Linked DNA regions of Oryzias latipes. The protein of the gene in region 1 interacts with the protein of each later gene in a pairwise test. Links are inferred from orthologs where the notes say so. Each region holds a gene or a part of one and is shown in the gene's direction. Other genes may lie near its edges.

Region 1 (3,561 bases):
GAGTCAGATTAAAGGCTTTGGTTTTGACACTTCATGCAGAATTGACAGATTCTGGTGGTTGACTCTTAGGATGATGATGAGAAATTACATTAACCCCGTCTCAGGCTAGTGTTCTTAAAATGATGAAGGAAAATGTCAAAATCTAAATAAATTCATTTAATTCATAAAAACAAAAGCAAGTAACTATTTTAAATATCTACAAACTCCACTGTATTTAATAGATGAATTGAATACATGTTGTAAGCGGAAGTATTTTGTAGTAGTTTTAGTTTAAATCAAAACTGTCTTTTCCATGTTTTCCTGCTTAGTGACAGTAAACTATATTATTTTCAGAAAAGATACTTATAAATGCTGAGTGAACATGTTTAGTTGTTTTAAAAATAAAATTGATATGTTTTGGCAAATTACTTAAATAACATGTTATGCAACTTCTAAAAATACATGCTAATAATAAACTATCATTAATAAAGTGAAGTGGTCAGTTAGAAAAAGTTGTTTATATTAAGGGATGTTTTTCTGCTTCTGTTGTTGTATTCAAAGAATAGAGAGAACAGATTACAGTTCATTCAAATGTATTCTGTTGTATAGTAATTTTGGACCTGATAAGGATTTTGATGATTCTTTATTTAAACCATTTTTTTAAATGTTTTTTTGCATTAAAATCTAAACTAAAAGTAACTTCAGGGTTTTTCTCTTTTATTTTTTTCTACTAAAATCTATCAAATGTTTTTATGTTTAAGAGAGAGCTGTAGGATAGTTATCACTTTTGTTGGGAGATGTTTTTTTTTAAATAAATGTTATGACTTGCACAGCACTTATAAAAGAACGAGCAGCCAAAGTGCCGAACACAGAAATTAAATATAAATAAAATCCCTAAACAATAAAAGAAAGAATAATGATAAAACGATGAAAGCCATGAAGCATTACTAGTTAACCGGTTTGTGTGGTCACATATTATTTTGGCCACTTTATCATTGCTGCGTCACTGCCACAATCTTTTCCACCATTGTTCTGGCAGTGTGATGCTGAAGGACAGCAGATACTGCAGAAAGTGACCTGCCGGCACATTTCAGCCGTGATCCTGGCGTCTGCGTCCCATGTTCCATATCTGGGTACACGGGACTGCTTTCACAAAACGAGTGTCAAAGATAAAAGGGGAGTGTGTTGTCCCCGAAATGTTAAATGAAGGTGAAGAAAGCTGCAAACTCCTGGGTTTTTTCCATCACATGGAGATCAGATAGCTTACACGTGATACAAGAAGCAGTTTGTGAGGAAAAGAACTGTGCTTGATGTCTGTATGTTTTTTAATTGTTTACAAATGGAATTTAACCCAGGATAAAGAGCTTCTCTAAAGTATGTGCCGTCTTGCCTCCTTTTTGGTTTGCATGTCATAAAGCAGAACCAGAAGATTATGAAACAACTTGTCATTCTATACTGACCAAATGTTTTTCTTGCAGCAACTAAGACTAAATGTCTGATTTGATTCTTTCTATCATATAAATAAAGTAAATGTTTAACCTCTTTTAAGTCTATCTTCATAAATTCTTTGTTCATTCAAGGAGGGACCACTTGTGTTTAGATGCAGTTCAGAGTGAAATCTTTTCTATAAAAATTCTATAATTTTTTTTAATAGAATTTAAAGAAATGCACTAAAACATTTTTCTGGGCTAATGTCGATTATCTATTCAAGTTGTAAAATGTATATTTTCCTTGTTATTGCCAGATAATTGACTCAAATACCTGTGTGCTCATAACTATCTGTTGCATGAAAGCCAGCTAATTTAATAACCGTTGATTCTACCTTCTAGCCATAAAACAAACCATCTTACAACTTCTAGTGGATCAACATTTTGGCCAGCAGCTGTCGGTGAGCTGCCCATTTTAGAGGCTGCTGTTGTTTATGGAAACCTACTGAACATTCCTCTCCTTTATCTATTGCTTTATTGTTCCCTCAGTGGGGGTAGAAAGCAAGTCTGAAGACATTCTGACCATATTTTTTAATCGCATCACAGATTGGATGTCTCGTTAATGCTGCTTTTATTTTGGTGGGGTTATTGAATCCTGTTTTTTGTCTCTTGCTTGTCTTTTAGGTGGATTGTAGATATGGAAGGAGCGCCTGGGACTCTGTATGAAGGAGAGAAGTTTCAGCTACTTTTCAAATTTAGTGGTCGATATCCTTTTGATTCACCCCAGGTAAGCACGGCCCCACACGACCCTGAATGTGAGACTTTCTAGAGCTCTTTGTCCCGTGCAGCTGGAAAGGTTTAATAATAAATCAGGTTCTTTTTAAGAACTAGCAGCTAGACTGAGTGTCTACGTTTGACGGAACTATTGGAGGCTTTGAAAGATCTCTATTCAGACAAAAAAAGACAATAACATAAGGATAAACTAAGGCAATTGCTCCTTTTCCATGGCTGATAAGAAGTTTTTCCTGTTTTAGACTAAAGGTTCTGCAAATCAATGTGAGAAATGGAGGTAAAAGTTGTTTAGTACCTGTACAGAGCTGCTTTATGGGTGGTGTATTGGTCACACTCTCTTGTTAAAGGAGCGTGCTTTAGAAACAGTGGAGCTTGGATTCAGTCAAATAGTTTCACTCGACTGTTTGTTATGCTAGTCAATTTCTTGACCATCTAAAAATCCAAAATTCCGAACTAAAACCCAACTGAGCTGCTTGGACACAACTCTATTTACTGTAAGGCCAGACTGTCAAAGGTCGGACAGGTCAATACTGTTCGATGGCGTTCTGTGTTTGTGTTCGGTTGCATCAACATAATCAGAGAAAATGTCCCTTACTTTCTGGGATTCTCCCCAACATGCTCATAAATATGTTGCCTTATAAAACTGACCTGATCTATTGATTTTCTGTTTTAGAACCACCTGATGTTAGACTCTAATGAAAGGATTTCTTTGACGTAGTTTACTTCTATAGATGTTCACACTTCTCATTTGCTGCCAAAGCTTAAAGTTAAACACTTCAAAATCTTCACTCACCACCATCCTGAAATTTCTCGACATCTTTCGATTTCTAGACGTATTGGCTAATTTTGTTCATAGATTGCTAGTTTTTGAATAGCTTTTAGGTTTTTGGATTAATCAATCTTTAGTTTTGTGTTATGTTTGCTTATAAATAAAGCTGTTCTTGTTTTTTTAAATCATTTTTTTATTTTACCTGGAAATAATTTGTAATTTTAGATGTTCCTATCTGCCTTGTATTTTGCTCTCTGTGAGTGAAGGATTATACATCTTAACCCCAATCTCAGCTCTTTCTCTGGTGCTATAATCTGGATTATATGGACATTGATTACCTGTTTACAAATCAGTAATAACGTAAGAAGGCTAAAAGTACAGTCTTCCCATATCGAATCAATCGTACAAAACAAAGAAAAGCTCTTATTTTTAGCAGCATAAACCATAATGTAAACAGTGAGTAGAAGCAGCTGGAATGAGGAAACTCTTTGCCATATTTTCACTGCATTATAATCTTTCTGCCTCCTTTACTGACCTTTTATATGAACAGCTGATCTCTTGAACTTAATCCTATAGCCTAATGTTTCTCCAGAA
Region 2 (4,211 bases), on another chromosome or scaffold:
TCCTGGTCCGGCCCTTCTATTCAATTTTAGAACCCTATGTTGCCCAAGAGTCAAAATAATTGCCCACCCCTGGATCACAGTTATTTTTAGAACGTAACTCCTGTAATATACGAGGTAACTCTGTACTGGTGAAAAGGTAACGCAGATATATGTCCAGCTGCAGCAGAAGACATAGAAATGTGCTTTTTTCCTTACTGGATGAGAAACAGAGAGCTGCAGCCCTCAAAGTCTCAGCTGGTCTGAGACGGAAGAGGATCGACTATTAATTGTTTTTTCTTTTTAATGTATCAGTCAGTATATTTTTCCTGACATTTTGTCTTTGAAAATCACAGAGAGAGTTATTGGTCATTTTTTGTTTCATAAATAGTGTTATTTATATTATTAAAGAGATCATGAATTAATAAAACTTTATTATAGGGCTTTACAATAAAAAAAATATAAAAGAAGTTTTAAGTTTTAAAGAAAAAGACTTATTGTGGCCTTCACTACAAAAATGTTGGGGACTTCGCTCCAGCATCCATGTGGTGTTTGAAGATTTGTTGTTTTTCATTCTTACGATCATTTAAACACCACATGAATGCAGCATTCCTCAAAGTTTTACATGAGGTACATCAAGCCATTGGTGCAATTGGCTCTAAAATGAGAGCAAAAGTTTTTAACCTAAAAACTTTAAAATGCTCTGTTTTAAAATATAATTTTCAATCCAAATGTTTTCATCCAGATTCCATGTTATTTCTTCCTCACTCCACGCATCTGCTCCTGGTCCAGCCCTTTTATCCAATTTTAGAACCCTATGTGGCCCGCGAGTCAAAATATTTGCCCACCCCTGCTCTGGACTGTTAAAATTGTATTCCTCTCCTTTCCACTGTCCTTTTTTACATAATGACAGATACAGTTTCATAGGCTTATAAAGGCTTTACCGGAAGCATTAAAAAAATTACATCTATTTTATAGGTTAAAGACTTAACTTGTCTGCACATTCAGATGGCCTTGATTCTACTACAAGATACTTGTTTTGTGGAAATTTCATTTTTTACTGATTTAAATAAAATTAAATTTTTTCTCATTACCAATCAGTTTTATGATAATTAAATAAATCTGCATCACGTTAACTAAACACTTGGATTTTGTGATTTAAAAAATGACTATATTTTATTGTTTTACTTTTTGTACTAATATTTTATTACAGAGAGAAAACGCTGTATTTGTAATAACTAAAATGTATTCATTTTTTTAATCTTCTGCTACTACCTTTTTGAAGTGTGGTTTCCTTTGTATTTTGGTATTGTTGATTTTTTTAAATAAAGTTTAAATGCTTCCAATTCACCGGAACTACACGAGATCACGTGAAACGAGCAAAACAAATATGGCGGTCACAGAGAGAGTACCATAAAGCTAAGCGGTCATCCTTTTTGCGTTAATTCTCATTTTCTAGTTGTTTTAAAAACATTTTTACTGCCATATGCACGTCGCTTGATGAATACGAGCGTCCTCGCGCCGCAGAATCGACCACAGAGCAAAACCGAAACCAAGAAAATGAACGGAAGTGTCAGGCGTTCGTTTGAAAACAAACATCCGGCTTTGCGTCGCGTGCGTTTTTGTGTCCCTGTTAAGAGATGGACAGACATGAACTCTTAGGTGAAGGAACGTCTGTGATGTTCGTGAACGCGGATAAGGCCGCGGGGCGCCGCAAGCTTAAATAAGGACGAGCCGCCATGGGTTTTGTTAACTTAGTGATAACTTCAGTAGGAAAATGTCTGGACGCGGTCTGCTTCCTTCTGGACCTAAACTTTCTCATGGTCCACACGGTGGTCCGGACTCTCCTGACTCTGCTTGCCTTCATACACAGCGTGCCCTCCCTCCTCATCAGTTCGGCTCTGCAGCTGGGGAACCTCTGCATGTACTGCGGCATGTGCGTGGCAGAGGCATCCTCACACCTCGCCCACGGCTCGGTCAGCCTGCTGGGTAGCGTGGTCCTGGCCCTGGAGGGGCTGCTGGAGAGCCTGAAGATGGTGGGTTACCTGTCGATGCACGTGCTGCTCAGAGGAAAAGAGCACCTGTACCGCAGTGTGCTGTCACTTCTGGAGGGTTGTGGCATTGCTCTCAGCCTGGTGGTCTACTTCACCAATACGGTGGTGAACTTTGTCCTCATTGCCACCCACAATGTCTACTTGGCAGCAGTCAGTGTGTGGCAGACGGTGTCCAGCCCACTCCAGAAGGTGGTGGAGCTCGCTCTGACCTCCATCACTTGTCTGTCCAGCTGCCTGACGGGAACGTCAGCTTTCCTGTGGTCTCCTTGCAAGCTGGTTCTGGACTTCCTGATCTCCCTGCTGCATATGTTCATCAGTATCTTCATATTGAACATCTATGGCCTTCTACTCACCGTCACTATCGCCTTGACTACCACCGCCTACCTTAACCCAGGACTGGTCCATCAAGCCTTTATTCGCCTCGTGGAATACATGAAGTCTTTTTCTGTTTTGCGGGGATTTTATCGGGCTGTCCATCGCTGTGTCACGGCCCTGTGGAACACTCGACATCTGCTCCGCCGAAACATGCAACACCTGCATAGGTCTCTCCGTCACCTCCAGCTACTGCAGGCTGCCATGTGGCAGCAGCTGTCTCAGTGCAGCAGGCAGCTGTGCCGTCTTCTGCGAACGATGCTGCACAGGGGCAACAGAGTCGGAGGCGACGGCGACCCCGGAGAGAGGAGGCGGGACCCGCCGGACGGGAGAGCAGGAGGCGGGGACCACCGGGAGCTGCTGGATTTAGTGTTTCCCTCCTCCAGCAAAGACGGCCCTTTGAAAAAGCTGCTGTCTTCTGGAAAGAAGCGTAAACATTTGCCTGCTGAAAGCCTACTGACTTTACTGAAGGAGCAGGAGGAGAGGAAGAAGTGCGTGATCTGTCAGGATAGCACCAAAACCGTGGTGCTGTTGCCGTGCCGACACCTGTGCCTGTGTCGAGAGTGCACAAACATCCTTCTGAGGCAGCCCATCTACCAGCAGAACTGCCCTCTCTGTCGTCACATGATTCTCAACACTATGGACGTGTATTTATAGGGATCAATGATCCGTGAAAAGCCTTACAGTATTTACAGAAATAGAAAGGAGTAACGATAAGCCTAAGAGTAACACCAACACTGTTCTTATGTGATATTCAATCTGTTCTTTCTCCATAAAGCTGTAAATCTAAAAAAAAAAAATGTATCTGTAATGTTTTATTTTGAAGGTACTCCTCAATCTTAAAGGGATCAGTGTTAAAACAGATCATAGTGGATACTTGGTATATCGCTTTTACTATTTTAGATGTGAAAAGCAAAGAAGATTTCCAGACTCTTCTTGCAAAACTGGGTAAAAAGCTGTGGAAACTAAACTCAAAAGTTGCACATACTCAAAACGAATGCCAAAAATCTGCAGTCTAAGCTCCATTCTGCACATTTGATACCAAAATGAGACAAACATTGATTAACACGCATAGTAAATCTGTTTTTATAGACCAGAAGTGTGTTTTTTTTAATGCTGGGTAGTGCTGTCACTAACAGTCTCATTTGGATTCTATTTTTTTTTTATGTTTCTTTTGTTAGCTTTCTTTTTCGACGTTTATTTATGGAATAATTCTATCTCTAAATAGTATTTTTACTTGCCCTGCATTTAAAATTAACAATGCTCTGTGCATAGGATACACATGTACCGTTGAAAGTATTTTTTGATTTTTTTTTTCCCACTTTTAACCCTCATTTCCATATTAACCTATTAACATTGCATCCTAATGCTGGTTAAAGGTAGTTAGCTTAAAATCTCTAGTACTCAAAGAAAAGTGAGGCATCCTTTTCATATTTTAACCCAAGAAATCTACCAATACAAATGGAACATACCATGTGTGTAGCAGGGTCGTACTAAGTTATCAGAAGTGCAAAAACGCTAAAACTGTGTACACAAACATTTTAGAATAAAAATTGTGCTTTAGGTTTGTGTTCCTGTCACTCTCATTCTAAACAGCTGCAGTCTTTGTTGTTTCACTACATTGCTGTTGAGTCTCAGGTGTTCTGATCCATGTGTGCCCCCCAGAAGAGCTGAAGCGTTTCCCACCGCTCACATCTTAAAGCACTGAGTAAAGGTGCCATTTTTATCTGTTCCTATCACAAACCTGGCAACCCATAAGGAGTTTCGAGTTTTTCCCTCTGACCTCAGCTCTGTGTGGCATTAGAGGCT

What was found.
Region 2: the proteins of ube2w (region 1) and rnf26 interact in a two-hybrid assay, tested with the Homo sapiens proteins (2 studies listed by BioGRID and IntAct). The link is inferred for Oryzias latipes from reciprocal best matches to the Homo sapiens genes UBE2W and RNF26.

The regions. Positions count from the first base shown.
Region 1 is NC_019878.2:16,091,602-16,095,162, forward strand, and holds part of ube2w (ubiquitin-conjugating enzyme E2 W), read left to right. Parts: intron 1-2,090; coding exon 2,091-2,193; intron 2,194-3,561. UniProt on the Homo sapiens protein: Accepts ubiquitin from the E1 complex and catalyzes its covalent attachment to other proteins.
Region 2 is NC_019871.2:16,451,306-16,455,516, forward strand, and holds the start of rnf26 (E3 ubiquitin-protein ligase RNF26), read left to right. Parts: upstream 1-1,338; 5' UTR 1,339-1,715; coding exon 1,716-3,059; 3' UTR 3,060-4,211. UniProt on the Homo sapiens protein: E3 ubiquitin-protein ligase that plays a key role in endosome organization by retaining vesicles in the perinuclear cloud.